Linked DNA regions of Callithrix jacchus. The protein of the gene in region 1 interacts with the protein of each later gene in a pairwise test. Links are inferred from orthologs where the notes say so. Each region holds a gene or a part of one and is shown on either strand. Other genes may lie near its edges. The genes, in order: TXNDC5 and GMPPB.

The links.
Region 2: the proteins of TXNDC5 (region 1) and GMPPB interact in a two-hybrid assay, tested with the Homo sapiens proteins (2 studies listed by BioGRID and IntAct). The two-hybrid records come from large-scale screens. The link is inferred for Callithrix jacchus from reciprocal best matches to the Homo sapiens genes TXNDC5 and GMPPB.

What each region holds. Positions count from the first base shown.
Region 1 is NC_133505.1:22,398,893-22,413,697, forward strand, and holds part of TXNDC5 (thioredoxin domain-containing protein 5), read left to right. Parts: intron 1-6,357; coding exon 6,358-6,507; intron 6,508-11,468; coding exon 11,469-11,574; intron 11,575-14,805. UniProt on the Homo sapiens protein: Protein disulfide isomerase of the endoplasmic reticulum lumen involved in the formation of disulfide bonds in proteins. Can reduce insulin disulfide bonds.
Region 2 is NC_133516.1:32,328,138-32,343,422, reverse strand, and holds GMPPB (mannose-1-phosphate guanylyltransferase catalytic subunit beta), read left to right. Parts: upstream 1-1,388; 5' UTR 1,389-1,612; coding exon 1,613-1,741; intron 1,742-1,866; coding exon 1,867-1,947; intron 1,948-2,037; coding exon 2,038-2,086; intron 2,087-2,222; coding exon 2,223-2,365; intron 2,366-2,580; coding exon 2,581-2,739; intron 2,740-2,824; coding exon 2,825-2,903; intron 2,904-2,976; coding exon 2,977-3,104; intron 3,105-3,187; coding exon 3,188-3,370; intron 3,371-3,462; coding exon 3,463-3,594; 3' UTR 3,595-4,035; coding exon of another isoform or gene 4,036-4,156; 3' UTR 4,157-4,236; coding exon of another isoform or gene 4,237-4,322; 3' UTR 4,323-4,447; coding exon of another isoform or gene 4,448-4,542; 3' UTR 4,543-5,125; coding exon of another isoform or gene 5,126-5,268; 3' UTR 5,269-5,861; downstream 5,862-15,285. Other genes in the region: AMIGO3 (amphoterin-induced protein 3), read left to right, coding at 6,322-7,836; E3 ubiquitin-protein ligase RNF123, read right to left, coding at 4,036-4,156, 4,237-4,322, 4,448-4,542, 5,126-5,268, 9,236-9,320, 9,541-9,616, 9,708-9,896, 10,327-10,466 and 5 more. UniProt on the Homo sapiens protein: Catalytic subunit of the GMPPA-GMPPB mannose-1-phosphate guanylyltransferase complex. Catalyzes the formation of GDP-mannose, an essential precursor of glycan moieties of glycoproteins and glycolipids. Can catalyze the reverse reaction in vitro.

The DNA.
Region 1 (14,805 bases):
AGTACATTATCTTTCAGATTCCTAGATTAGAATTTTTAGAACTACCAATGGTGTTGAAATTACTTTGTAACGTAAAACAGTCAGGCAGTATTAATAATTTTCTCTCTATACAGGAGTATTCTCAGAGCAACGATTTCAATGAAATATACTACTTAGTTGGAACCCATTTAAGTGGAATAGTTCTGTCCATGGGTTTTTTCTTTCTTCATTATTTGTTTGAGAGCTGTGATCTTGCTCTGTTACCTACCCTGAAACACAGCTGCAATTGCAGCTGAGTGTAGCCTCTAAGTCTGGGCTCAAGTGATCCTCCTGCCTCAGCCTCTGGAGTAGCTGTGCCTAAGGCACAGGTCACCACCCCCAGCTTATTTTTGTTGTTGTAGTTGATAGAAACAGGGTCTCGCTATATTGCCCAGGCTGGTCTCAGACTCCTGGCTTCAATCAGTTCTTCTGCCTTGGCCTTCTAAAGTGCTGAGATTACAGGCATGAGCCACCGCAGCCTGTTCTTTACTTTTTTAAAAGAAAAACTGACATGTAGATGTAATAAGTTCCTGCAGCCAAAGGGATTTTAATTTTAGAAACTCTGCAATAAATACCAGCCAGTCCTGGGCTGAGTGAGAGAGAGAACTGGCACGTCTGGGCACTTGGTATTAAGTAAATTCCTTTTTCATTGTATGTGGCATTAGATACTTAGGTGGATGCTCCCAGAAAAAGTAACTTTATGTTTTTATTTGTTGGCTTCTTTATAGTCTACTACAAATATTTAAACAGAGGTATGTGGGTTTCTATGGTGGTGTTTAAGTTGGACTTCTAAGAGGGACCTTTCAGAAACTGGAGATACTGCAGTAAGGCTCAGGAGTCGGCTGTGAGGAAAGGAGGCTGAGGGGGCGGACAGGTCAGATGGGGGGTCAGCAGGGGCAAGACCCAGTAGGACCCACAATAGCTGGAACAACACCTTGGTGAGTGTAATGCTGAGAACAAGGTGGTATCTCTGGAGGGGTCTGTGCAGGAGAGGTAGGCACGTGCTGGAGTAGTGAGCTGAGCATTTGGAGCTCAGAACACTCAGTGGACTCCCCCTCAACACACACATACCTTTTTCCAGTTTCAGTTGCCGTGGAATGGTGAAAGCCCATTTGTGATAAGAGGGCTGGGGCCCCTGTAACAAAAACATTGATCTGTGTATTTTTGCCTGGAACTTGGCAGCTGCAGTGTTGTCCTACTGCTGTAGATTTTGTGCCAACATCAGATGACAGCTTCTGTATGGCCAGTTTGTGAGTCACCCTAGACCTGGTGACAGTGAGGTCAAGATTTGGACCAGGTAGCTTTGCTCTAGTTCTTGGCCACAGGCTACCTTGTAAATGCAGCTGGCGGTCTCAGAGCCGGGTTTTGTGCGGACTAGATAGCACCTGTAGCCCCATCACAGCCAGGGGCAAGGGCATGCCCAGCTTGGTGATGGCCCAGGATGGTCAGTTTTGACTTAGTGCACAACAAACTTATTTATTGTTTATTCTCATTCTTAATCTAGTCTTGTGTTTTCACAATAAAACAACAGAAGCAAAACAAAACCTCGTCAAGATTGCAGAGAAGTTCTAAAGTTCCAGAATGAGCATCTCTGATCAAAGCCCCCCAGGGTCAGAACTGCCCTTGACAGTCCCTTCGGAAGGTGCCTTGTTGGACACGACCCCAGTCAGTAAGTCCTCACTGCCAGCATTTCCGCCAGCATTAGAACTGTCATGGCTTCTTTGCTTGAATACCAAATGGACTAGTTCTCAAACCTGTGTCTTTAGGTAGCGGGGTCACACTGTAGTCGCGTAGAGCTGTAGATGCTCATGCCATGAGAAGCATGCAGCAACCAAGCCAGTTGAGGAACAAAACCCTCACATCTCCCGGCTTGCACCCACTTCAGGGTTCTGTGGGAATTGTCTTTTTTTTTCCTCGTTTCCTTCTCACACACACACCTTTTGTCAAACTCACTGTGTTGAATCTATAGGAGTTAAATTGCATGTATGGTTTCACTATTTTTTTTTTTTTTTTTTTTTTTTTTTTGGTATCTGAATATCTCATAAAGTAGGGATTTTCTTAGTTGGCCAAGAAAATGCTGTTTAAAGCCGGGCGCGGTGGCTCACTCCTGTAATCCCAGCACTTTGGGAGGCCGAGGCGGGTGGATCATGAGGTCAACAGATCGAGACCATCCTGGTCAACCTGGTGAAACCCCGTCTCTACTAAAAATACAAAAAATTAGCTGGGCACGGTGGCGCGTGCCTGTAATACCAGCTACTCAGGAGGCTGAGGCAGGAGAATTGCCTGAACCCAGGAGGCAGAGGTTGCAGTGAGCCGAGATCACGCCATTGCATTCCAGCCTGGGTAACGAGCGAAACTCCATCTCAAAAAAAGAAAAAAAAGAAAATGCTGTTAAGGGAAGATACATTAGCTTGAAGCAGACTTTTTCAGTGCTACCTTTAAATCTTTTCTTCTTCTTATGAGGCAAAATCTCACTCTGTCACCCAGGCTGAACTGCGGGGGGATGTGATCATGGCTCACTGCAGCCTCAAACTCCTGGCCTCAAGTGATCCTTCTGCCTCAGTCTCCCAAGTAGCTAGAACTGCAGGTGTGTGCCACCACACCAGGCTAGTTTTTAAAAATGTTTTATAGATGGGGTCTCGCTGTGTTGCCTAGGCAGTCTTGAACTCCCGAGTTCAAGCAGCTTTCCGCCTCAGCCTCCCAAAGTGCTAGGATTACAGGTATGAGCCACTGCACCCGACTTAAATGCTTGTTTTTGAGGTAATCTGTCAGAAAAGAAAAAGAGATTTTTTTTATTTTTATTTTTTTTGGGGGGGGAGGAAGGCAGGAAGGGAGGAAGCGGGGAGGGAGGGAGGGAGGGAGGGAGGGAAGGGAAGGGAAGGGAAGGGAAGGGAAGGAAGGAAATCAAGCAATGAGAGAGACATTGCCGACCTGGATCTAGAGGTTTACAAGTTGATTTCTTTTTTTTTTGAGAGAAGGAAAGAAAAAAAAAAGTGAAGGAGAGGAAGAAAGAGGGAGAGTAAATGGAAATATTGCTTTATTTTGAAAAAAATTGGGTATTAATAATGGCCAATCAATGTTTCATTTAAACTTATGGGTAGGTGTGATGTGGTATTGACAAGAATGTATATTTTGTGTATTTGAAGTGGAGAGCTCTATAAATATTAATTAAGTTTACTTGTTCCGGATCTGAGTTCGAGTCCTTGATATCCTTATTAATTTTCTGTCTCATTGAATCTAAGTCTCGTATCTGGGTGTTAGGATCGTTAGCTCTTGTTGTTGCATTGATCCTTTTACCACTATATCTTTGTTGCTTTAAAATCTATTTTATCCGATATGAGAATTGCAACTCCTGCTTTTTATTTATTTATTATTTATTTTTGCTCTCCATTTGGTTGGTAAATCTTTCTCCATCCCTTTGTTTTGAGTCTTTGTGTATCCCTGCATGTGAAACAGGTCTGGATGTAACATGCCATTGGGTTTTGGCTGTGTCTTTTGATTGGGGGATTTAGTCAATTTAAATTTAGGGTTACTGCCATTTGATGTTGACCGGCTGTTTTATCCATTCGTTGGTGTAAATTCTTCTTTATGTTGGTGCTCTTTACTTTTTGGTGTATTTTTAGAAAGGCTAATACTGGTTGTTTCTTTCTGTGTGTAATGCTTCTTTCAGAAGCTCTTGTAAAGCAGGCCTGGTGTTAATAAAATCTCTGAGTTCTTGCTTGTTCATAAAAGATTTTATTTTTCCTTCAGTTGTGAAGCTTAGTTTGGCTGGATATGAAATTCTGGGCTGAAGGTTCTGTTCTTTGAGGATGTTGAATATTGGCCCCCACTCTCTTCTGGCTTGTAGAGTTTCTGCTGAGAGATCTGCTGTAAGTCTGATAGGCTTGTCTTTGTGGGTAACCTGACCTTTCTCTCTGGCTGCCCTTAGTATTTTCTCCTTCGTTTCAACGCTGGTGAATCTAACGATTATGTGCCTTGGGGTTGCTCTTCTTGAGGAATATCTTTGTGGTGTTCTCTGTATTACCTGGGGTTGAATGTTGACCTACTTTGCTAGTTTAGGAAAATTTTCCTGAATAATATCCCGAAGGGTAATTTCCAGCTTGGATTCATTCTCTCCGTCGCATTCAGGTACACCTATCAAACGTAAATTTGGTCTTTTCACATAGTCCCACATTTCTTGGAGACTTTGCTCATTCCTTTTTATCCTTTTTTCTCTAATCTTTTCTTCATGTTTTATTTCATTAAGTTGGACTTTGACCCCTGATATCCCTTCTTCTGCTTGAACAATTCGAGTGTTTAAACCTGTGCATACTTCTCGGAGTTCCTGTATTGTATTCTTCAGTTCCATTATTTCACTCATACTCCTCTCTAAGTTGTCTATTCTCAATAGGATTTCATCAAACCTTTTTTCAAAGTTCCTAGTTTCTTTACGTTGGGCTACAACATGTTCTTTTAACTCACCAAAGTTTGTTATTATCCATTCCTTGAAGAGTGATTCTGTCATCAGGATGCGCTCTTTCTCCATCAAGCCTTGTTCCATTGTTGATGTGGAACTGTGATCATCTTTAGAGGGAGAGGTGTTCTGACTTTGAGTATTCTCAGCTTTTTTACGCCGATTTCTTCCCGTCATTGTAAATTTATCCTCCTGTCTTCTTTGAAATTACCAACTTCCAGATTAGGTCTCTTGAGTGGATGTCCAGGTTTTTAGTTCCCAGGGCCAGAGCAGCGGCGTTAAAACTGATGGTGCTTTTCTGCCCAGGATTCTCCTGTCTGGCTTCCTTCTTGTGTCCGTAGTAGGCGACTCTGCCTTCCCGGGGCTCCAAACCTCGGTCAGAAGGGGAACCGGTCCCGTTTACTCTGCGCTGAGCGCTGCTGTGCCTAGGTGCCATCACAGCCGCTGCGCCAGGCTCTGGTGTCCTGCTGGGGACCCGTGCGGGTCCTCCGAACCTGTTTACTCTGCTCCGAGAGCTGCTGTGCCGAGGTGCCGGCGGAACCGCTGCGCCGGCCACGAGAGTCGCGCTGGCCACCTGTGTGTTTCCTCCACTGGGGGATCTTCTGCTCCGTGAGCGACCAGAATTTGTCTGAAAGTGTGGTGTCCTCTAGTTCTCCGCGCCTTCCCTGAGAGCTGCAATCCCGGGATGTTAGCGATCGGCCATCTTGGATCGTTCTCCAGAAAAAGATTTTTAAGAAATTATTTTGGGGAAGCGGTCACAATTCTAAGTGTTGGTGTTCTTACAAGCAAGTGTTTTTTTAAAAAACATTTTAAAAAGCAACACAGCAAAGTGGTTGCATTGTAGGCATCAGTGTGTACCTACCATATTAAAAAAGAAACAAGCCCATGTGTCGTCATGCTATGGGATTGTAGTTGAAACTTGGGATAAAGTTTCTAGGGCTGTCTCATTCAGAATTGGAATACAGCACTGTAGACCTACCATCCTGAGAACGTAGTGAGAGTCGTGATCAGCTGTATGACTCAAGAAGATGTAGTGTTGGGAAAGGTGCTGATACCCTCATGAAATGTGAAGCGTGGCAAGAAACCTAATTAATATCCTATTTCAAATGATAGGCGATTTAAAAATATGTGTACATAACTGAATTCATACAATGAATACTCTAAACAGACATTTGCTGGCTTCAACGCTAGAAGTTTAGATGGCCACAAACTTTTTTTTCCTTCTCATTGGAGAAAATTGCAGTTGATTAAATTTTGGGATTGCCTTATATTTGTGGCTATTTGGTTACATACTGGAGGAGACTTGACTGATAAAAGTAGCAGATACAGCAAGAAGTGCTAAGCTACTGCCCACAGGAGGCGTAGAGGAGCTTTCCAGAAGGGCAGGAAAAGAGACTGGCACTGAACATCCTGGGGAGTCAGGGCAGACTTGCTGGAGGAAGCAGCACCCAAACTAAACCTGAAGGGCAGACAGAATTAGCTGGAGTTTTGGGAGGAAGTGTAGGAGAGAATGTGTCTCAGGTCCCAGGGCCAAGCCAAGCTATGGCCCTTTGGGAACACTGCAGGTGCTGCATAGGGCTCAGGAGTAGGCTGCAAGGCGAGGAAGTCAAGTGGGAGGTCACAGGGCCAGAACATGTAGGTCCAGAACAACACTTTGCTAAGTTTAATGTTGAGACGATGCTGAGATTTAATGCTGAGAACAAGACGGTGACTCTGGAGGGGCGGGAGCAGAAAGGGAGGTCCTGGAGTACTGGTCCAGGAGTTGCCATCTGCCATGACATAAAGAAAGGGCTGAGAGTCCCATTGCCCCCTCAACAGGGCTGAAGGTGCAGGCTGGCCACCCTGTGACCTGGCACTCAGTGTGCTTGTACTCTTGCTTGTTTCAGGTGTGGACACTGCCAGCGGCTGCAGCCAACTTGGAATGACCTGGGAGACAAATACAACAGCATGGAAGATGCCAAAGTCTACGTGGCTAAAGTGGACTGCACGGCCGACTCTGACGTGTGCTCCGCCCAGGGGGTGCGAGGATACCCTACGTGAGTCGGAAGGAAGGGGCACCCTTCCCAGATGGTTCCTGGCTACGAGAGTCGTAGTTAAACTTTTGGTAACTTCCTTTGTAGTTTTAAGGAGTGAAGAGATACTAAATTTAAGCAGGCAGTCCCTGTGATTAGGGAGAAATTGCATTTAGTGCTGTGTCTATTTTAGATGCCTTTTGTACTTTGGAAAACCTTTAATTCATCAGTGTTGGGTTTAAAATGTTCACCGGTACATTTATAAGAGAATGCGTTTGCAAGACAAAAATGGTGGTCTCCCTGAGATTCCCACCATGCTGGATGTTCCCTGGTACATTTTACACAGTGTGCATAGACTATCATCAATTCTGGCTTGCTTTTTTCGGTGACTTTTATTCTCAAACACCCTTCCTATAGTCACTTCCCGTGTGACTCCCGCAAGGGCTGTTCTGTTGGAAAGAAGTATAGAGTCTGACAGTCGATGATACTTAATTCCTTGACAGTTAAGAATTTTTTCTGGTTATAAGAAATATAAATTGAAATGTTCTCAGTTCTAGAAATATAATCATTCTCTTATTAAACAAAAAGAAATGACTATTTAAAAGGCTGTGAAGGAACCTCTGAGACCCAGCTCTGGGGGGTCTGGGGTCTGTTTCTGTTGTGTCTCCCTTGAGATGATGGCTTTCCAGGCCTGTATCTCTGTTTGCACAGAAGAGCCCACTACTGACTGGGCCTGCTTGGCTGGAGTGTTCGTTCCAGGAATAGTCACTGTGGTAAGGGAAACAGGAGCTTATAGCAAGACACATGCCCATTCATACCATGTGCCAAGTATTGGAGGGAAAAGCAGTTCTTGAAAAAAGAGAAGACACTGTTTCTGAAGGAGTTGGAGGGTTCGCTATGGTCACTCCCTTGCTGTTGGTTTCAATTGAGGAATGAAGTCAATTCTATACAATTCAATGCTTAATTGAGTAATAGAGGGGCCATCAATAAAGCATAAAATTGGAGCTTATCTTCAAACCTGGGAGGCAGAAAAGTGGAGGGAGCCCTAAGCTTGAACCTAGAAGTCACAGTCAAATCCCAGCTCTACCATTTACTTAGCACATAGCTCTGGCCTCATCTTTACCGTCTAAGGTGATCCCCCAGACATTGTTATGGGACTTACATGGTATGTGTTCAGACACCAATCTGAGCAAGCCCAATACACGTCAGGCTTTTCCTACCATTTGGAAATGTGGGCATTTCCTCAAAGGACTCTGGAATTCTTGGTCTTTGGTGACTGCTTGCTAATATAAGTGCCATAATTTGGGTCTACTTTAAATCAGATCAGTGGAGATAAAATTGCCTACAGTCTGTATCTACATAAAAGCATTCAGTATTCTGTGCTTCATAGTATTGCCTTTAAAGTACGAATCAGTCGTGTCCTAAGAAGCAGGCAGGGAGCAGAGATGAGGGCGAGGAGGTGAATGCTTACCTGTTGAAAGCCTATAGCTTTCAAGGTTCAGGGGCAGCAGGGGTGGGCTGGCTCTGGTGTCTTTCCACTCTTAACCTGCTAACCTTAATCTGTGGCCTGAGGCAGTGTGCACCACAAACCATGTCACGGGGAATTTGACAACAGGACCTGTGAGGGAGCTGAGAGTGGTAAGTGTTATGGGGCTTCAGAGAAGGAAGTGAAGGGTTCCGCCCCAGCCTGGCCGTAACGACTATTGGCTGCAATATCAGCTACTCCATAGATGATATTCACCAAATACCATCACACATTTAAAAAGTCACAGACTTAAAAAGGCCCATGTTGGATCATGTATTTAGATTTTTAATGAGAAGATCTCATCTCCCCAAATAAACCATGGGCTGGTTTTGTGTTATTGAAAAGAACAAAAATGAGTCTACACCACTCTGAACACAGTTTGGGAAGGAACCTCTGTGCCCATCACTGACCTGCAGAAGTTCCTGAGAACAGATGATTTTCCCCTAGAGAATGCAGGAGGTGGAATGTGCTGTATGAAATGTGGTCGCGTTGGGGCATCTAGAGATTGACTTGGGTGAGCTTTTACTTCTCCTAGACAGCACCCATCCCACAAAGTGGTTGTGAGGCCTGACTCAGACGATAACTGTACCTGCCTGAGCCCAGGCGTGTGTCAGGACATCAGCTTTCATGTCATTCTTCCCTGGCAAGTGTCACTGGAGTAAGGGGGTGGAGGGGCAGGGAGTTTGGGCTCTCATGCCCCCTAGAGATGGCTGGCTGTGTCCAGGAAAATGTTTCAGGGTCTTCCTATTGAGCCATTGTGAATCGTTACAGCAGGGCAGGACTGAAGGAGGAAACCACCTGTGTTAGTTTCCTGGGCTGCTGTAACAAAGTTTCACAAACCAGGTGACCAGAAACAATAGAAATGTATTGTCCACAGTCTCGGAGGTAAGAGGTCCTAAATCAAGGAGCCACCAGGGCTGTGCTCCCTCTGAAACCTGTGGGGGAATCGTCTGCCTCATTCTGGCTCCTGTTGGCTTCCTGGTCATCTTTGGCATTCTTTGGTATATAGATGCATCACTTCCATCCTCTGTCCTCATGTAGCCTTCTCTGTGTGTGTGTGTGTGTGTGTGTGTGTGTGTGTGTGTTGCTGCTTCCAAATTAACCCTTCCTGCAAGGACACCAGTCATGCTAGATTCAGGCCCATCCTGATGACCTCACTTTAACTTGAATATCTCTCTGTAAAGACCTTATTCTAAATAAGGTCAGCCTTCTAAGGTTGATGGTTATGACTTACACAGATGTGTTTTACAGGACACTGTTCAACTCATAACCTTCTTTATAGTAGTAGAACTTTCAGCATGTTGTTTGCCAAGGTGACGCCTACATGGCAGTTTTCTCCCTGCTGTCCTCTTGAAAGAGGAGACTCAAATGCCCATGTGGAGGCTTGGTAATGGCAGAAATCTGGGATGATACTTTGGGCACGTACCCTGTGGCCCAGTCTCCATCACCTCCTTCACCTCATCAACAGTGAGAATTGAAGTCAGATTCCCCAAACCAACTGGAAGGTCTGGACCAGACGTGCCCACTCTATCCCTGAGCTCCGTGAACTTACTGAGGAATAATCTTAGACTTGAGCAGGTTAGAAAGATTTTCAGGCCAACAAGAAGAGGGTTTTTTGTTTGTTTGTTTTTTGTTTTGCTCAAATGAATAGCAAATCACAAAAAATCACAGGCTAGGTCTTACTGTGTTTTACTTTTAGCAAAGAAACGAGGAATGCATGTGACAGTACCTGGTCCTGTCTCCTATTCTGAGGATCCACCCGTTTTCCTTCCCGAAGCACACTGATGGAGAGGCACTTGGAGGAGGTGGGTGGGAGGCAGAGCCATGCAGGAAGAAGTTTCTGTTTCTCTGGGTGCAGAACACACCGGTGGGAGCCCCGGGAGGTGCTGGGCTCGGTGAGGGCAGTCGTCTTTGTTACCACAGACTTTGCCCTTGCTTATCATGTTGAACTTCCTGAAGTAGCTGGTGTACTGACTGAATCTAGTGAAGCTTGGTGTTGGTGGTTATGAGCATCTAAGCTGCTGAGGAAGCTGGGTGTCTAGTCTGTATTGGAGACACATTAGGGGCCTTATGTAAGCCCTATGGCACTGGTGATCTTAGGTTCTGCATAAGGCCATTATGCCCATTTGAATTTCAAAGCCTATTCTAGCCATGTAACTTCATTTTAAGGATAATTAGCCATTTTTTATGGACTGAATGTTTGTGTCCCCCAGAATTCATATGGTGAAATCCTAATCCTCAATGCTGACATTAGGAGGAGGGGCCTTTGAGAGGGGAGTAGGTCATTAGAGTGGAGCCCTCCTGAATGGGGATACCTACCTTATCAAAGAGGCCCCAGAGAGTTCGCTTGCCCCTTTTGCCATGTGAGGACACAGCAAGAAGACACCATCTGTGAACCAGAAAACCCTCACCAGACACTGACTCTGCCAGCACCTCGATCTCAGACTTCCGGTCTCTAGAACTAGGCGAAATCTGTTCTGTTGTTTCTAAGCCACCCAGTCTGTGGTCTTCTGCTACCACCATTGAACTAAGACACTATTCAAACCTTCATGTCTGATTTCTTCATAAATTGGTATCTTATAATTCTGATACTATACATTGGGCATCTACTCACAAAATCCACATACGTGCTGTAGAAGTGGCAGGGGTGTTTTAGATGAGTAGGCTTGCCAACAAATGGTACTCCGTTAGTACCTTCTGTTAGCAGTCACATTTTTCCCTGTCCTTGACACCTTCTATGAATTTTTATCTAGAGCACGTTTTCCTATGACTGATGGGGTGATCCAGGAACTGGGAGTGTTAATTTCATCCTCTGGTGCTGTCTTTTGCTTATGGTTAAAGGGCCAGCTCCTGTATCCTCTCTGTAGGTTCCTCCAGAGGCCACGATTTGTAGGAAAAAGAAGATTCCTTCTCTGTGGGGAGACGAATGGACTGTGTTAGTCAATGTCAAGGTCGCTCTTACAGTTGGACACGAATTCTCACAGTAACTGGATATTCATGCTTTGCACGAGTTGAGTACCTGCCAGGGTGGCCTGGAAGAATACTGCTATTGCAAAACAACACTGCCTCTGTTACAGTCCTAATTTGAACATGTACACAACAACCACTGCTGAAGCTGAGAAAACATAACAGTACCTTGCAGGGAAGGCCTGAGACTGCTGCAGAGGAGCACTGAATACTTGTAGCTTGGGGCTTCAGTCACAGCATTAGGCTGGAAGTTCTCACCTCATTTTTATTTTCCTTAAATAAAATCAGAAACTTCTAAAAGTTTAGGATTAACAATGTATTATCTCCTGGAACGTTATTTTTGTTTCCTTTTAGAGTTTTATCAGAGAGGAGCAGATATGTGCCTGGCTGCAGCCTCTTGACAGCTCATTTTCTGATGGTTTTACTAAATGAGTTTGCTCTTTGATAAGACAACTCTCTTTTTGCTCTGTCTAATCCTTTGTTATGCTTTCAGCTTAAAGTTTTTCAAGCCGGGCCAAGAAGCTGTGAAGTACCAGGGTCCTCGGGACTTCCAGACTCTGGAAAACTGGATGCTACAGACGCTGAATGAGGAGCCAGTGGTGAGCGCCTCCCTCTCTTCCTGTCTGCATCTTTGGGGTTGTATGTAATGGGGCAGAGACCAGTTGAGGTGAATGATTAAGGCTGCCATTTTAAAGCAACTTTACTTTTTTTTTTTTTTTTTAGAGCTCATTGATATTATAGGTAAAGATGAACTTTTACAAAAACTTTTTGGTATGGAGATACTGAAATGTGCACAAAAGTCAGGAGAAGACGGCCCTCAGCTTCAGCAGTTACCGCTGTCTGGCTGCGGTGGTTGTCTTCCCCACCACCCTGTGCCACTGTCTGCCTGCGGTGGTTGTCTTCCCCACCACCCTGTGCCACTGTCTGCCTGCGGTGGTTGTCTTCCCCACCACCCTGTGCCACTCTGTCTGGCTGCGGTGGTTGTCTTCCCCACCACCCTGTGCCACTGTCTGGCTGCGGTGGTTGTCTTCCCCACCACCCTGTGCCACTGTCTGGCTGCGGTGGTTGTCTTCCCCACCACCCTGTGCCACGCCACTGTCTGGCTCTGGTGGTTGTTTTCCCCACCACCCTGTGCCACTGTCTGGCTCTGGTGGTTGTCTTCCCCACCACCCTGTGCCACTGTCTGGCTCTGGTGGTTGTCTTCCCCACCACCCTGTGCCTTGTCTGGCTGTGGTGGTTGTCTTCCCCACCACCCTGTGCCACTGTCTGGCTGTGGTGGTTGTCTTCCCCACCACCCTGTGCCACTGTCTGGCTGTGGTGGTTGTCTTCCCCACCACCCTGTGCCTTGTCTGGCTGTGGTGGTTGTCTTCCCCACCACCCCGTGTCTTGTCTGGCTGTGGTGGTTGTCTTCCCCACCACCCTGTGCCTTGTCTGGCTGTAGTCGCTCTTTAAGGAGGTCACTTGTGGAGTCTCACAGATGAGCACTTAGTCCTTGTTAACACTGCCACCCTGCCACTGTCACAGGTAATACAGTTCACAACTGTTCCCAGCATCCAAGACTGACTCTTGGCCACCTGGGGTCAGGGCCGGGCCCAGCCCAGACTCTCCTGTCCAGGCCAGCAGTGAAGCCTCCTCCCATACCCCCGACCTTTGCCCTCCGCCGCCTGCAGCCTCCTGGCTCAGGCCGAGCCCGCCACCTGTACCCGTAGTATGGATCCTTCCTTTTCTTCTCGGTGCTCAGTCCCCGATCCCTAATGGGCTTTGCTTATAACATCATTTCATACCATGAATATTCTGTGTCTTAATGCATTTCCTGTACTAAGGCTAATGTCAGGAGATTATAGATACTTAGCATGTTATGTACTAAAAAAAATTCATAATCTTCCCCCTCCCCAGTTGATGTTGGAAGTCTTCATTGTGTCATAAAGCATCATGATCATAAACCACTGGTTAAGTGTCCCTTTGTAGGTGGTGCCTTCTGATTAATGCAGAGCACTCAGGCCCCTGGAGCCTGGGCAGACCTGGTGGTTCATGCTGCTGTGTTGGAGAGGGCCTAGAAAGATGCGTGTGTTCCTACGTCGTAGGATCCTGATGAGCTAGGAAGAGCATCTGAAGTCGTTGTAATTTGTTTCAATAATTACCTAAGACTGACTTCTTGTGTCAGCTAGGCACCCACTGATTTGAAGCTGTTCTGTGGACCACGTGTGTCCACACGGTCCATGGTGGTCCGTAGACCATGTGTGTCCACATGGTTCTTTTGAAGCTTTGCTGCTTACTGGTGCCATTTTCCAGTGTGTCTGTGTGGCTCTTCTGCTCTGCCCCATCTTCTCTGATGATCTAATCAGAAACTTGGCTGCTGATTTGGTACTTCTGTCCCTCACCTGTCAAGACTCTTAACTTGGCTGGGTGCAGCAGCTCATGCCTGTAATCCTAACACTTTGGAAGGCCAAGGTGGGTGGATCACCCAAGGTCAAGAGTTCAAGACCAGACTGGCCAACATGGTGAAAGCTCATCTCTGCTAAAAATACAAACATTGGCCAGGTGTGGTGGTGGGCACCTGTAATCCCAGCTACTTGGAATGCTGAGGCAGGAGAATTGCTTGAACCCGGGAGATGGAGGTTGCAAGGAGTTGAGATCATGCCATTGCTCTCCAGCCTGCACAACAGAGCAAAAACTGTCTCAAAAAAAAAAAGAAAGAATCCAAACTATATGGTTGAGACTGTTGGTGTGTGATGTGTGTCACTAAACCAGAGACTTACCTAACTTAAGGTGAAAGAGAAAACCACAGACCTCTCTCAGAGAGGAAATTTGCATCTTTGTCTGACAAGAAAGCTGGATGAGCAGGTGTGACTTTCATATAGATTTAAATTTGACATTATTTCCTTTATGAAAATAATCTCTTTGTGGGGACATGTATATTGGATGGTAGGAAACCAATTTTAAATGATTTTCACCAAAAAAAACCCCAGTCTTCTATGATGGATTTATTCAAGAAACCAGCAGTCAGTAGCAGGATGGCAGAAGGACCTCATGTCACCAGCCCATTTCCCTCAGTGGAGGTGGCACCTCACATGCAGGTTGGGAAGGGCAGAGAGGCCAAGTTTCAGGCTCTGCAAAGGACTTTCTTTATCTTCAGTGTGGGAGCATGGTGGCCATGTGGAATTTCCCCACGCCACCCCAGAACCACAGTCACCTGCTTGCCGTATTTTATTGTCTCGCAGCAATAGGAGGTCCCAGGTAATTGCCAGAAACAATGACAATCTGCCTTATTGTGGAAAAGTTTGAGTATGCAAACTTTATACTGCAGACCAGAATTCTCTTCAATTTGAATCTAGCTTTTTAAGTGAAAACTTTAAAAAAAAAGTTCTTTACCTGTATACCTAAGTAATTTAGTGCATACATTTTTTAATACTCATGTGGGATAAGTTTAGATTTTTTTTTTTTTTTAGTGTCATGGCAATACTAAACTGAAGACAATTTGTCATATTGTACTCTTGTTTTTTTTTTAGACAGTCTCACTCTGTCACTAGGCTGGAGTGCAGTGGCGTGATCTGGGCTCACTCACTGCAACCTCTGCCTCTTTGCAGTTCGCTTCCTGGATTCAAGTGATTCTCCTGCCTCAGCCTCCCGAGTAGCTGGGACTACAGGCGTGTGCCCTCATGCCCAGCTAATTTTTGTATTTTTAGTAGAGACGGGGTTTCACCATGTTGTCCAGGTTGGTCTCCATCTCATGATCTCCTGATCTGCCCACCTCGGCCTCCCAAAGTGATGGGATTACAGGCTTGAGCCACCATGCCCGGCCCATTTTGTACATTCTACTGCAATTTTTA
Region 2 (15,285 bases), on another chromosome or scaffold:
GTCATCCCTGGTAGGGTGGAGGGTAAGACATAGGGTCTAGAGCTGTTTGTGACCTTCAGGGGATGTCCTGTGCCTCCCAGGTTCCTAGATTCTGGGAGGAGAGGCTGCGGCATTCTGCTGCTCCTCACAGCGAGCAAAGCTGCACCCACTTATTATCAGTATTTTCTTGGCATTAAAAAGAGTGAAAAGGCCTGTGGTTTGCTGCTCCTCCCCTAGAGCAGGGCCCCTCCTTTCAGCACTTTGGACACCTGGAGATCAGCCCTGTTATTTAATGGTAGTGGGCAAGTGTGTGTGCATACTGTCTGCCACTGCTTTCTGCCTACCCCATGCCAGACAGCTCTGTCCCTGCCAGGCCCCGCCTTCTTAGCCTCAACTTGGGACCAAAGTGCAACGTGGATCATGGGTTGGGGTGCTTAGGTGACACCCTCTATAGTGCTTCCCTGGGCCAAGCCAAGCTGACACCAGTTCCTGAGGGTGGGGTGGGACGGGTGGTGCTTAAAAGAGTAAGGGGACCAGTGTAGCAACTTGCCAGGGATCCCACCCCCCTCCCTCTCTGGGCCTGTGCAATGGGCGTGGGGATTCCCATCAAGGGCCTGGCGCCTGTGCTAGTTCCGTAGCTGCTGCTCACTGCTCACTCCTGGCCACATGCACGTTCCCTAGATGCATATTGCTTTGAACTTTAAAGCTGTACAATTTGGTTATGTTTGTGCTGACTTGAAAAATATTTTAAAGAGGAAAAAAAAAATGGAGAACCCTGGGAAGAACTTGGTTCTTTGCTTCTCGGGGAACTGTAAGCCCTCGCATTCTGGGAATCGCTCTCTGCTCCTCTTTCCCGGAAGCGAAGTCTGTTCCCACCACCCGAGGCCTGCGCCCGGACACTACCCGTGGCTGCCGCCGCAGCTGCGTTTGTTCTGGACCTTGCGTGCGGGAGGGGGTGCTTGGGCCGAGCCCACTCCTTTCTGTACACCTAGCGCTACCCGCCCCGCTTGTGTCTGAGGTCGTGTATGTCAAAAATAAAGCCGCTAAAGCGGAGGCGAGTCTGTCTCTTTGTGAAAATCACTCAGCCCGGGAACTTTCCCTGGTCTCACTTCCCTGGGCCGAGGCCAATGGGCGGGTCCTAGGGCAGGGCGAGTCCGGCGGCCGCTGGACCACGCGAAGCAGGGAACATGGCCTCGCCCTTGGCGCCATTTCCGCCTTTGGATCCGCCAATGGCTAGCTGACCCGCGGGTCCCGACCCGGGTCCCCATGACAGCCTGGCACGCTCGAGCGCTCATTGGCTACGTCTGTCGCAGCGCCGCGCCCCAGCGCTCCGACGCCAGCGGCCGTGCCACGTATGCGGCAGCCGATTGGCCCAGGGGATTGCGTCACTGCCCGCGCCTCTCCGGCTTGAGTTCGGGACCAGCCGCGGTCCATCTGGCGTTGCCTTCCGGGTTGTGGTGGCCCTGGATCCGGCGTCAGGGCGATCGAGCGGACGAGGTGGAACTAGAGTCTGAAAGGCGGGCTGGTGAAGGGCGCGGGACCGGGACGGCGTTGGGAGTGCGCGGCAGGGGCCGGCCAGGCGGGCTGCAGGCACCTCAGGGCCCGGCACACCCTTCCAACGCCCGCAGGCGCGATGAAGGCACTGATATTAGTGGGGGGCTATGGGACGCGGCTACGGCCGCTGACACTGAGCACCCCGAAGCCACTGGTGGACTTCTGCAATAAGCCCATCTTGCTGCACCAAGTGGAGGCGCTGGCCGCGGTAAGACCCTGAATTGGGATCGAAGTCGCGTTCGGATCCGGCGGGACTAGGGATGGCCAGCGACTAGGAGTCAGGGGCTCCCCTATCTTCTGGCTGAGCCCGCCTGTCGGCCTGCGTTCTGACAGGCAGGCGTGGACCACGTGATCCTGGCCGTGAGCTACATGTCGCAGGTGCTGGAGAAGGAAATGAAGGCACAGGAGCAGAGGGTGAGGCAGGGACTCTTGGCCCTTACCCTCAGTCCCCGCCCAACTTCCCATCCTGGTAGAACCTGACTTGGGGGGGCCTCTTCCTTCTAGCTGGGAATCCGAATCTCCATGTCCCATGAAGAAGAGCCTTTGGGGACAGGTCAGTAGAGACAGGAAAGTCCCTTGGGGAGGGTTTAAGGCCAGGAAAAGGGTAAGACCCAGCCTGGATTGGCCTGCTGAGCCTGAATCAGGGACTCAGACCTCCAGCAAGGTGGTGACCTGTCCCCTTCCCCCAGCTGGGCCCCTGGCCCTGGCCCGTGACCTACTCTCCGAGACTGCAGACCCTTTCTTCGTCCTCAACAGTGACGTGATCTGCGATTTCCCCTTCCAAGCCATGGTGCAGTTCCACCGGCACCATGGCCAGGAGGGCTCCATCTTGGTAAGGCGCCAGGTCTTTTTTCTCTTGACACTTCCGCCCTCCATGCCCAGCCTCCCCTTCCCCTAGCCTTCATTTGCCTTCCGATGTTATGGGTACAGAGCTGTGCAATATGTATCTTTAAGCACTTGGGGCAGAGTTTCTGAGATCTGGGACAGCATGTATATCAAGGCTGAGGAACACTGGACTAGGTCCGAGGTCCCCTTCCTTGCATTCAGGTGACCAAGGTGGAGGAACCCTCCAAGTACGGTGTTGTGGTGTGTGAGGCTGACACAGGCCGCATTCACCGGTTCGTGGAGAAGCCGCAGGTGTTTGTGTCCAATAAGATCAATGCAGGCATGTACATCCTGAGCCCTGCGGTGCTGCGGCGCATCCAGGTGTGTAGAATACACCTGTTGGTGGGCTGGGGTGGCGCAGGCCATCACTGCCATGACCCTGCTCACAAGCTGCCCACTCCCACAGCTGCAGCCTACGTCCATTGAGAAGGAGGTCTTCCCTGTTATGGCCAAGGAGGGGCAGCTATATGCCATGGAGTTGCAGGGTGAGGTAGGGAGGCCACAGGGTGGGGGTGGTCTGTGGCTGGGCTGAGGCCCCTGATACATCCCTCCCTACAGGCTTCTGGATGGACATTGGGCAGCCCAAGGACTTCCTCACTGGCATGTGCCTCTTCCTGCAGTCACTGAGGCAGAAGCAGCCTGAGCGGCTGTGCTCAGGCCCTGGCATTGTGGGCAACGTGCTGGTGGTGAGGCCCTTGCCCAGCCCGTTATTAACCTCCTCAGTCTTGGGAGACAAGTGGCTCACTTGTATTTCTCTCACCACTCTCAGGATCCAAGTGCCCGCATCGGCCAGAACTGCAGCATTGGCCCCAACGTAAGCCTCGGACCTGGTGTGGTGGTAGAGGATGGTGTATGTATCCGGCGGTGCACGGTGCTGCGGGATGCCCGTATCCGCTCCCACTCCTGGCTTGAGTCCTGCATTGTGGGCTGGCGCTGCCGCGTGGGCCAGTGGGTAAGCCTGTGGGCTGGGCTACTTGGGGAGAGGGGCAGAAGAGGGGTGGGGAATGTGCCTGCATCCCTGACAGGGCCTATCTTCTCCTGGAGGTTCGCATGGAGAATGTGACAGTGCTGGGTGAGGACGTCATAGTTAACGACGAGCTCTACCTCAACGGAGCCAGCGTGCTACCCCACAAGTCTATTGGCGAGTCAGTGCCAGAGCCTCGCATCATCATGTGAGGGGATACAGTAGGGCTAGCTGAGCCCCAGTTTTCCCATCCGCAAGGGGAGTGCTGGCCTGACACATCAGAAGATCCTGGACTTTTAATTTGTCTGAGGGGCATTGGATGAAGTTGAAGCCGTTGGACACCTGCCTTCTCATGTGGACATCATCTGGCAGGATCCCTGCTGGGTACATCCAGCAAACCCCACTCCCTCAAGAAGGGCCAGGGCCAGGGCTGTATGGAATAATAATTTAATGCTCACTGTGGCCCTGACTGAAAGTCAAGCTCAGGCACAATTAGAGCCATGGTTGGGTTCCCACCAATGAAACAGGCAGGCACGGAGGTTGGATGTGGTGGTGGTGGTGGTGGGTACAGGAGGGCAAAGGGAGCTCATAAATAGGGCCCAGCCTGGCTCTGGGTTCAAGGATGGGGGTTCCAGGATGGCGCAGGCTGAGGGCTAAGCAGCTGAGGAGGTAGTGCTTGTACTGGCTGCCTTCTCCCAGTCCTCGACAGACACGATGGTGGCTTTGCAGAAGAAGCAGTCCTTGTTGTTCATCAGGTGTTGGTTGATGCAGGCTCTACAACAGGGGAGGGGATGAGGACTGCATAGCATGTACATACTGCTCTTCCCCACCACCAAGCTGTGGGGCCCACTTACTTGCAGGACTTGTGGCCACAGGGCTGGAACACAGCAGAGATGGGGTGGGCATAGCAGATGGGGCAGAGGTCCTCCTCACTGGTGGGCTGCAAGAAGGAAAGTGAAGAGTGGGCTGGAGTTGGATGCCCAGCTATGTGGATGTCTGCTGTGCCTACATAGAAGTGCACACATATTCAAGTGGGTTGGGCCTGTGTGCTGTGGGTCTACTCACCAGGGAGGCAGCTGCTGCCTGGGCAGATGCAGAGGTCAGGTGCGCCAGCATCTGTTCCACCTGGGCCAGCTCGTCAGCACTGATATAATCTGCATCTGGGGAGTGGTAGGTAGTGTCAAGCCAGAGGTGGCTGAGGATGTGGTGCCTCTTGAATATTTCCAGCCTAGAACTTTGCTTTTTTTTTTTTTTTTTCAGCTAGTCTTGCTATATCGCCAGGCTGCAGTGCAGGGGGGCAATCTCAGCTCATTGCAACCTCCACTTCCCAGGTTCAAACGATTCTCCTGCATCAGCCTCCCGAGTAGCTGGGATTACAGGCACACTACCATGCTTGGCTAATTTTTGTATTTTTAGTAGAGATAGTTTCACCATGTTGGTTAGGCTGGTCTTAAACTTCTGATCTCGTGATCCACCCACTTTGGCTTCCCAAAGTGTTGGGATTACAGGCATGAGCCACTGTGCCTGGCTTAATTTTTGTATTTTTAGTATAGACCGGGTTTTACCATCCAGGGTTGGCCAGGATGGTCTTGATCTCCTGATCTTGTGATCAGCCCACTTTGGCCTCCCAAAGTGGTTGGATACAGGTGTGAGCCATTATGCCTGGTCAGACTTTGCTGTTCTTAAAGCTCCTGACCTGATCCAGCCCTGGATCTCCCTGACCCACCCCACTGGCCCACTCACAGCTCTGCAGGGAGAAGTGCTTCCGGTCAGGGGCTGGCAGGGTAGTGCCAGGTGCTGGGGGGTCTGGCTGTCCCAGGAGATAGCATATTGAACGGAGCTGGAAGCAGGGATCTGCCAGGAGCACTGATGTGGCTCGTTCTCTCCTAGGTAGGGGAGGGTGCAAAGGCAGTCAGAAGGGCCTGGCTGAAAGTCTCTATGGGGATTGCCAATGAGGAGTGCCATGGCTCTTGCATGATCGTCCCCCACCCCCACATCCTTTCCATCTTGCTTCTGAAACCCCAAGTCCTGGATTCTAGTAAAGTGCCACACAATCTGGGATACCACTTTTTTTTTTTTTTTTTTGAGATGGAGTCTCACTGTCACCCGGGCTGGAGTGCAATGGTGCAATCTCAGCCCACTGCAACCTCTGCCTCCGGGGTTTAAGTGATTCTCCTGCCGCAACCTTCCGAGTAGCTGGGATTACAGGCACATACTACCATGCCTGGCTAATTTTTGTATTTTTAGCAGAGATGGCGTTTCTCCATGTTGGTTAGGCTGGTCTTAAACTTCTGACCTCAGGTGATCCACCCACCTCGGCCTCCCAAAGTGCTGGGATTACCGGCATGAGCCACCATGCCCAGCCTTGGGTATCACTTTAAGAAGGCTCAGGGGTGCCACCCTCAGATAAGAGTCCGCCTGTCCCATAATATATCAGTCCTTCAAAATCACTTCAAATAAACACTAACAGCAGCTTGGAGACATTCTTCTAGACTCTCCCTTTTACTCCTCGAGAACAAAGGAGCGGCAGAGAGCTGCTAGCCAAAGGCAGGCTGAGACTTAGGGGTTGGACTCACTCCCCCTCTGGCGGTCACGCGGGGCCCCTGGGCGCTAGAGGATACCGCCGCCACGCCTCCTGAAACAGGAACCAATAGGAGCCCGAGCCCCGCCCCAGGGGGAGTATTTAGGGGCTGATCAGGAACTCGCTCCGAGAGGGCTGGGGAAGCCGAAGGGACCGTGGAGTGGAGTCCGGCCCCGTCTCACGACCTGGGAACAGGAATACAGGGGCTCTCAGCCGGCCGGGCAGGGCAGAACCCGCACCGTGCCTCCTCGGCAAGGGCCATCCGGTGCTACCCACGTCACACTAAAGCAGAAGTAGGTGAGTCCTGGAATTGCGACCTGCACAGAGCTGGTCTGTCTTGTGTCTGGTGGTCGCCGCCATGACCTGGCTGGTGCCGCTGGGAGCACTGCTCTGCATGCTGCGCGTTGGGTCAGGCACCCCAGACTCCGAGGGTTTCCCGCCCCGTATGCCCCACAACTGCCCCTACAAATGCGTCTGCGCTGCTGACCTGCTGAGCTGCACTGGCCTAGGGCTGCAGGACGTGCCGGCCGCGTTACCTGCCGCTACTGCGGACCTCGACCTAAGCCACAATGCACTCCAGCGCCTGAGACCCGGCTGGTTGGCGCCTCTCTTACAGCTTCGCACCCTGCACCTAGGCCATAACGAACTAGATGCACTGGGTCGCGGTGTCTTTGCCAATGCCAGTGGTCTGAGACTGCTCGATCTATCATCTAACATGTTGCGGTCGCTTGGCCGCCACGATCTCGATGGGCTGGGGGCGCTGGAGAAGCTGCTTCTGTTCAATAACCGCCTGGTACACTTGGACGAGCATGCCTTCCATGGCCTGAGAGCACTCAACCATCTCTACCTGGGCTGCAACGAACTTGCCTCCTTCTCTTTCGACCACTTGCACGGTCTGAGCGCCACCCACCTGCTTACTCTGGACCTCTCCTCCAACCGACTGGGACACATCTCCATAACTGAGCTGGCTGCGCTGCCAGCCTTCCTCAAGAACGGCCTCTACTTGCACAACAACCCATTGCCCTGCGACTGCCGCCTCTACCAACTGCTACAGCACTGGCACCAGCGGGGCCTCAGGGCCGTGCGCGACTTTGCACGCGAGTACACATGCTTAGCCTTCAAGGTACCCGCGTCCCGCGTGCGCTTCTTCCAGCACAGCCGCATCTTTGAGAACTGCTCGTCGGCCTCAGCTCTTGGCCTAGAACGGCCGGAAGAGCACCTGCACGCGCTGGTGGGTCGGTCCCTAAGGCTTTACTGCAACACCAGCGTCCCGGCCATGCGCATTGCCTGGGTTTCCCCGCAGCAGGAGCTGCTCAGGGCGCCAGGATCCCGCGATGGCAGCATCGCGGTGTTGGCTGACGGCAGCTTGGCCATAGGTAACGTGCAGGAGCAGCATGCAGGACTCTTCGTGTGCTTGGCCACTGGGCCCCTCCTGCATCACAACCAGACGCACGAGTACAACGTGAGCGTGCACTTCCCACGCCCAGAGCCCGAAACTTTCAACACAAGCTTCACCACACTGCTGGGCTGTGCCGTGGGCCTGGTGCTCGTGCTGCTCTACCTGTTTGCCCCACCCTGCCGCTGCTGCCACCGTGCCTGCTGTTGCCGCCACTGGCCCGGAACACCCAGCCCACTCCATGAGCTGAGCGCACAGTCCTCAGTGCTCAGCACCACACCACCAGACGCACCCAGCCGCAAGGCCAGCGTCCACAAGCATGTGGTCTTTCTGGAGCCAGGCCGGAGGGACCTCAATGGCCGAGTGCAGCTGGCAGTAGCTGAGGACTTCGATCTCTGCAACCCTAGGGGCCTGCAGCTGAAGGCTAGCTCTGAGTCCGCTAGCTGCATAGGCTCCCAAGGTTTCATTACAACCTAGACTGCACAGAGCCCCGACCAAACCCCCACCCTCTTGCTGCTCGCCCTGCTCCCTACTTTGGTCCAGAGAACTGGCAGATGCTGGTGGGGAGCCCTGTGCCTTCCCCCCCAGCTTCCTGTGTGGGCTTCAAACCACAATGGGCCTTTTCACTCACTAGTAGAGAGAGAGGTTCCAGTCCCCAATCTGCCTTCTGCTCAGCCCCTGCACAGGACCCAAAGGCCCCAGGCCCTGCAAGCTGTGCTAGTGCCTGCTTCTCCAGGAATCTCCTAGTGCCCAAATGCCCTGTGAGGCTGAGAGACCCAGGCCCGTGTGGAAGAACCCCTGTAGCAGAGCCCCCTATCCACCCTCAGGGGCCAAAGAACTCTTGAGTGGTGCTGAAGAGCTGACGCAGGACTACCTCCCCTTCCCAAGGGGGTGGGAGGGAGTGGGCCCACAGGGAAAAGGAGGCAGCTCTGAAGGAAGATCCCGCCCACACCCTAAGACAGGAGAAAACAAGCCCACCCTCTGGTGAAATGGGACTCCCTGCATCTGCCAACACCCAACTTCCTGAAAGCTTTGCAACTGCACGGAGAGTCCGGTGGGCAGGCACTAGGCAGGAAAGGCTCCTTAAGAGACTCCTGAGGGCCCTGGCCTAAGCCCCAGCCAGAGGCCCGGCTCTCTCCAGGTGTTGTTCTGAAGGCAGAGCCCATTCTGTGGGCTCACAAGACACAGTGAAGTGGATCATGGCCTGCGCCCCTTCTTTTCAGCAGTAAAATGCCCAAAAAGCCTGGTGAGCATGGCCAAGCTGGGAGGGCCGAGCTGAACTCCATGTCCCTCCAGGGCAGGAGCCTCTTAAGGGCTGGCACTGGTCTCAGCCTAATGGCTGAGGCGGTGCCCTGGCTTCACATGCCTCTCACTGCTCCCATTGCAGGGGAGCAGGGAAGGGGGTCTGGGAGCTCCTCATGTGTGGGGGCTGAGCTGGGGGCCCTCATGGCCATCCTGGACCCCAGTGCTCCAGAGTTTCTTAATAAAGGCAGCACTTGCTTATTGCTGGAGCCTTCGCAGACAAAGGCGGTCCTTGTGTGTTCAGCTCTCCAACCAGCAGCCCAGCCCTGTCCGCTACAGGATGGCACACCCTCCAGAGTCCTGCCTCTCATGCCCAGCGCCTGAGGGGTGGCCACAAGCCAGTGGCTCTGTGGGCCAGGACACCCTGTCCTGCTGGGGTTCCAGATTCTCCTACTTAGAGGAGCTCCCTCTGCCCCGTTTAGGCTGTTCACACCTCACCACCTTCCCTCTGCCTCAAAACCTGATACTGAGGTCTGTTTTCCAGATTAGGAAACAGAGGTAACAGGAGGCCCTGTCCAGCCCCTCTTCACCAGACACACCCATCTCCCCGCAGGGCCCAGTCCCCAACACTCACTCTGAAGCTGGGCCACGCACCAGGAGCTGGACCAGGATGCCCGTCACTGCCACCAGAATGGGGTAGTGGTCCACGCTCTCTAGACCTGAGGGGAAGGGAAGGAAGGAAGATGAGCCGCCCATACACTCCCACTGTAGGGGCTCCAGGCTTGACACCGTCTGTCCTGCCTACTGCCCTCCCTACAGAAGGGTGAGCCGAGGCTGCAGGGCACTGAGCCTGGCTGTCTAGGGACAGAATGTAGGCATTACTGTTCCTAGCAGAGGAACCAAGTGGTGTGTTGGGGTGCAGGGTTTCTAGGTCCTCACCAGGCAGCCGTAGGGTGACCACACGATCAAACAGGTTCCTCTCAGCTGTCACCCGGTTCAGCACCTGGTTTAGCAGCTGTGGGGGGGGCAGGTATCCGTTGGTGGATGGGGAATGTCACCAGTGGGGCATCCCCAGGGTCCCACCCTTGTTGCCCAGATGGCCACACCTGTGCAAGACGCCGCAGCAGCATCTCAGAGGTAGGCCGGGTCCAGTCGAGAAATATCTCAGGCACCAGTGTGATGGTCATCTCCAAGACACGCAGCAGGCTGACCGAGAGGTCAAAGCAGGTGGCACAAACCTTGAGCTGCCGGCTATCCACAAAGTTCCGCTCCAGGCGCTCAGCAGCCTGCTGGATCTGAGCCACCAACAGGTCGGCATGCAGCAGTCAGTGCCTGGCTCTAGCCCAGGACCAGGCCTTGTTCCTTGCACCATCACAAGGCCCCACCACAGCCCACCTCCACCCACAAGGCCCCACCACAGCCCACCTCCACCCACAAGGCCCCACCACAGCCCACCTCCACCCACAAGGCCCCACCACAGCCCACCTCCACCCACAAGGCCCCACCACAGCCCACCTCCACCCACAAGGCCCCACCACAGCCCACCTCCACCCACAAGGCCCCACCACAGCCCACCTCCACCCACAAGGCCCCACCACAGCCCACCTCCACCCACAAGGCCCCACCACAGCCCACCTCCACCCACAAGGCCCCACCACAGCCCACCTCCACCCACAAGGCCCCACCACAGCCCACCTCCACCCACAAGGCCCCACCACAGCCCACCTCCTGGATCATGCCAATGAATTCAGAGAAGGCCCAGTTGAGCTGGTTCAGGACACTGTTGAGGAAGCTGGGCGCCACATCAGGACCCTGCCGCAGGAGGTCTGCCATGTGCCGCTGCAGCAGGGTGGAGGGGCAGGGCTCTGCAGGGGGACAGGGAGGCAGCAGCATCAGGGACTCCACTGCAGTGGCCTCTGCCTGTTTGCCTCTATCCTCACCCATTGGGCCTTTGGTATAAGGGCAGAAAGATGGCTCCCTAGGAATGCTCAGGTCATGAAAGCGGGGAGGGGACAGCTGCCTTGTAGTTTGGACAAAATCTATCCCCTCCTTTTACTAGGCAAGCCCCAGGCTACAGCTGTTTCCAGCCCCCACACCGCACTACCCACCCCAGGCCGAGAGCAGCCACACAGCCAGAGCCTGACCTCCAGCAAGTTCTGCGCCACACACCCTTCAGATGGGGTCAGATCTAGACAGGGTGGCTTAGACACTTCCCCACTGGCACCAAGGTCAGCTCCTCCAAGAGCCTATTCTGAGCCCTGCTGCAAACCTGCTGTCCTCTACTGTCCTCTGCCGCCCTTGGCCTGGCCTTGGCATATGGCCGAGGCGGTGGGCACCAAGTCTGGGCTGGCAGGCAGCAGTAACCAGAGCCCTCAGCTGCAACTGGCCCGGCACACCTCCCCACCAGCTTGATGCAAATCAATAGTTCCCGCAGCAGCAGGACGGACCTGGCCGCACTGTCACTCTCCACTTGCAGCTCAGTTCCTCCCTGGAAGCAGGACCAAGGACTTGCTGTGTGACTTAGCACAAGACATTCAGCCTTTCTGGGGACATCCTTCAGACCAAAACACTGCCCACAAGAGCAGAAACACACTATGTGAGCCAAGAAACACCACCAAAAAGGGCGAGGACAGTATGTGGCGGGCACTCTGCAAGGTCAAGCCTAGGGCAAGGTCCTCAGGCTCATGAGACATTGCTGGACACTGGAGACCTGGACAGCCTCTGCTCCCAACTAAATGTCCCTTCCTCCAGGAAGCCCCATGAATACCCTCTGGAGACCTAGCCAACCTCCAATTGGTGCTCCCACTGGACTCAGGTGTCCGGGGCCTAAGCCAAGGCCAGGATCTGGCACCAGCAGACAGTGGAAAAGGGGCAGAAGGACATGATGCTGGGACAAGGCTGGAGGTCAGGGAGTTAGCTTAGAGGGCAAGGGACAGAGTATTCAGTCTGCATGCGCTGCGGCAGGCTAATAAGACAGTGCCCCCTCTCACCATGACCCACACAGAGCGTCAGGGCTTAAAGGGCACATGTAGGACTGTGGGCAAGGGGGAGGAGTCCCACCCCGAGCATCCTTGCGCTGAAAGGAAGCAGGGTAAGTGGAAACCCTAGAGGACAGGTAGGGCATATGGGACTCAGCAGGGGAACAGGAGAGGGGCTGGAAGAAGTGGAGAGTCCGAGAGAACCCATGGGTAAGGCCCCCCACTGCCTTGCCCGGGACTCGCCTAACCCAGATACTCACTCTGGAGGCTGGGCAAATTGGCGTCCTCAAGTTTGGTTTTCAGCAGATGTGGCAGCCGTGTATAGCGGTACCCAAAGCCACAGCCCTGTGGGGGGTATGGGGGGCAGTGCAGGGGTCAATGGGACAGGGCACCCTCTCCCTCCAGCCAGCCTCAGCTACCTCCTCGAGTTAGGCTTACCCTCCAGAGCCGCACCAGGATCCAGTTGGTCTGGGCCCAGGGCCGCTGTTCATAGGGAGCCAGGAGGTTCCTTACCATGGCAATACGCCTATGAGGGCAGGGAGGGGAGAGACATGGGGTGAGGCTGAGCACAGTGCTCGAAGGCAGGGTGTGTGCCCCTCCAGGCCCCACTCACTGCTCCTCAGGGATTCGCTCCACAGCCCGCAGGGAGTGTGGGTAGCACACGTAGCTGGCCAGAGCCTGCATCAGCGAGTCTCGTATGTCTGTGGGGACAGGCCTTGCCTCAGTAGGGGCTTGGCATGAGCCCTGGCCCCATGCTTCATGCCCACCTGGCCACATTTTTCATAGAAAAAAGCCAACCAGAGGTGCAATCCCGTTTTCCTCCCCCTGTACCCTCTGTAGGCCCCTCACCAGTGCCCACGATGCGTGTGTCTGCAAAGTGTTTGGCAAGAATGGCAGCCAGGCGGGTCAGGGTCTCTTCATAGCCTGCAAGGGTGGGAAGTGAGACGTCTTGGCTTGGAATGAGAGCTCCAGGGACAGGCGTGTCCCTTGGCAGGTTGGGTGGGCTGGAGTAGCAGGCTCTAGAGCTGGCTCCCAAGGCCATCGTGGACCCAGCGTAGCATCTGGGGACATCGGGCAAGGCATTCACTGGTGGCTGTGGAGGTGCTAAGGCACAGGCTCACTGTGAGGGGAGGACAGGTGCTGGCAGGAGCCCTAACCTGGGCTCAAACCCACCTCAGCACACACTTGATGAGCTGTCAAAACTCCCTGGGCACTCATAGCTCTGTCTTTGAAGACAAAACCTGCATCGAGGCCTGGGGCTGGGCAGGGGTCAGGCCAGGGTCCTGACAGCTCACAGCCTGATCTAGACATACACTGCCATGCCTAGCCTGGAATCAGCAGGCTGCAAGAAGCCTAGGTTCATATGTGGACCCTAGCAGGGCCCCACCCCCCTGCTGTGATTTACCAAGACAAACCATTCTGCCCTTGACCAACTGCCACACTTAGTGACCAGTGCCAGGGAGTCAGGGTGAAGGGCCAGCTGGCTGCGGGACCATGGCAGTTGCTCACAGCACTAGGAAGTGAAAGCCAAGGGGTATCCACCCACTGTGTTCCATCTTTTCTGTTTTCCTTCACCAAGGAGCTGCTGGCTCTGTGGCTGTGGGTCCCAGGGCAGGGTACAAACCTTTGTTTGCTGCAGGGTGAACCACAGAGGAAGCTCCACCTCCTCTTCCCACCCCTCCCCCACACGGATGTATGTTGCTGAGCCACAGAGGTCTCAGACCAGGGCTCCTAGGGCTCACACTAGAGACTCCTTTTCTGCTTCTGCCCCAGCCTGAATGGTTCCATCACCTGGGAGCTCCTCCATGCTGTGCACAGAGCCAAAGTAATTCTTGAGAGCACTGTAGCTGTTGATGGCCACACTCAGGTAGAACTCGGGCATGAAGGCGAAGAGAGACCCCGTGCGATCGCCGTGCTCAATGGTCCGCAGGCAGACGCGCAGCAGCCAGTAGATGTCCAGCATCTTCTCCTGCAGTAGGCACACAGGTGTTGCTGGGCTGCTCACCAGTGGGGTCTTGGGGGCATGGCCTGGCCTGGGGATCAGGAAAGGCCTCCCTGTCCTATGACAGCACAGCTGAGACCTGGATCTCAGGATGTATGAGCACTGGCTTAAGCAGGGCAATCAAGTCCTCGGCAGGCAAGAGAGACGCACTCAGCCTGGAGGGAGCATTATTGCGACCCAGGCCAGAACTCTGATCAGCATAGCGTAAGCAAGTCTTTTGTTTTTATAAGATGGACTCTTGCTCTATCGCCCAGGCTGCAGTGCAGTGACACTATCTTGGCTCATTGCAACCTCTGCCTTCCAAGTTCAAGTGATTGTCTTGCCTCAGCCTCCCAAGTAGCTGGGACTACAGGTATATGACACCACACGTGTCTAATTTTTGTATTTCTAGCAGAGATGGGATTTTGCCATGTTGGCCAGGCTGGTCTTGAACTCCTGACCTCAGATGATCCACCTGCCTCAGCCTGTAAGCAAGTTTGAGGCAACAGGGTGCTGTGTCTGGAAGTCTGTGTTGGAAAGCTGCCCCACACAGAAGGGGAGGCAGGGCAGGTTGGAACAGGAAGGTGAGGAAGCCACAGTCTTGTCTAGGTCCAAGATGGCAGACAAAGGGACTGGAGGGCCAAGATTGGGTATGCCCTAATGGGCTGTGGGGACAAAGAAAAGGTTGCAGCAAGAATGGGGGTACGTGCTTCTGAGGGTGGTGGGTTCTCCATGGAGTACTAGAGGAGCAGCAGGCCTGGTGCAGGGCAGAGGGGAGCAGACAAGTGGAGTACAAGGTACGTAGGGGTCCCAAAGAGCTGGTGGTGGTAAGCAGGCAGACAAAAATTTGATCTGCATTGCAAAGGAGAAGGTGGTGGGAAGGCAGGGGGTGGTGTGACTGGTGGAACAGAGGTCACAGGAAACAGACAAACCCTTCTGAGGGCCCTGCTCCCCACAATGTGGTTTCCACAGAGTCCATGTCAGGGTCTCACAGAGCCCAGGTAAGAATGAGGCCTCAGGCCCCAGCCCAGACCCACAGCACCCATGTGTTTTGGAGTGCGGCCAGTGCACCTGGGCTTCACACTGGCTCTCTAATGTGCCCTAAAACCTGAGAAACTGAGAAGATGTAAGCAAGCGGTCGGGGGTGGGTCTGTGCACACACCTGGGCAGTGACGATCCTGCTGCTACAGAAAGCCAGGGAAGACTGTCTGATGAGGGGATGGCAATGGCTCCATCAGAGTTAAGGCACCAATCCAAGGGAGATGGAAATGTGAGGGCTGGATTGAGATGGGGGCAGACTGAGACACAAGTGGGACTACTTCAGAGATGGGGAAGAGCCTGTGCTGGGGTGAGATAAAGGGGAATATGAAGGAGCTAAGACAAAGGAGAGAACATGACTACGGGCACATGTAGAGTCAAGGCTGGAGCGCAGTGATGCAATCACAGCTCACTATAACCTGAACTCCTGAGCTCATGTGATGTTCCCACCTCAGCCTCCAGAGTAGCTGCGATTATAGATATGCATAGCCATGCCCAGCTAAATTAATTTTTTCTTTTTAGAGATGGGTTGCCCAGGCTGGTCATGAACTCCTAGCTTCAAGTGATCCTCCCACTTCAGCCTCACAAAGTGCTTGATCACCCAGTCATTCAGGGGTGTGCCCAAGAAGACAGCAGATGCCCAGACACAGGCACCTGAAGAGAGCCTCAGAGCACTCACTGGTAGGG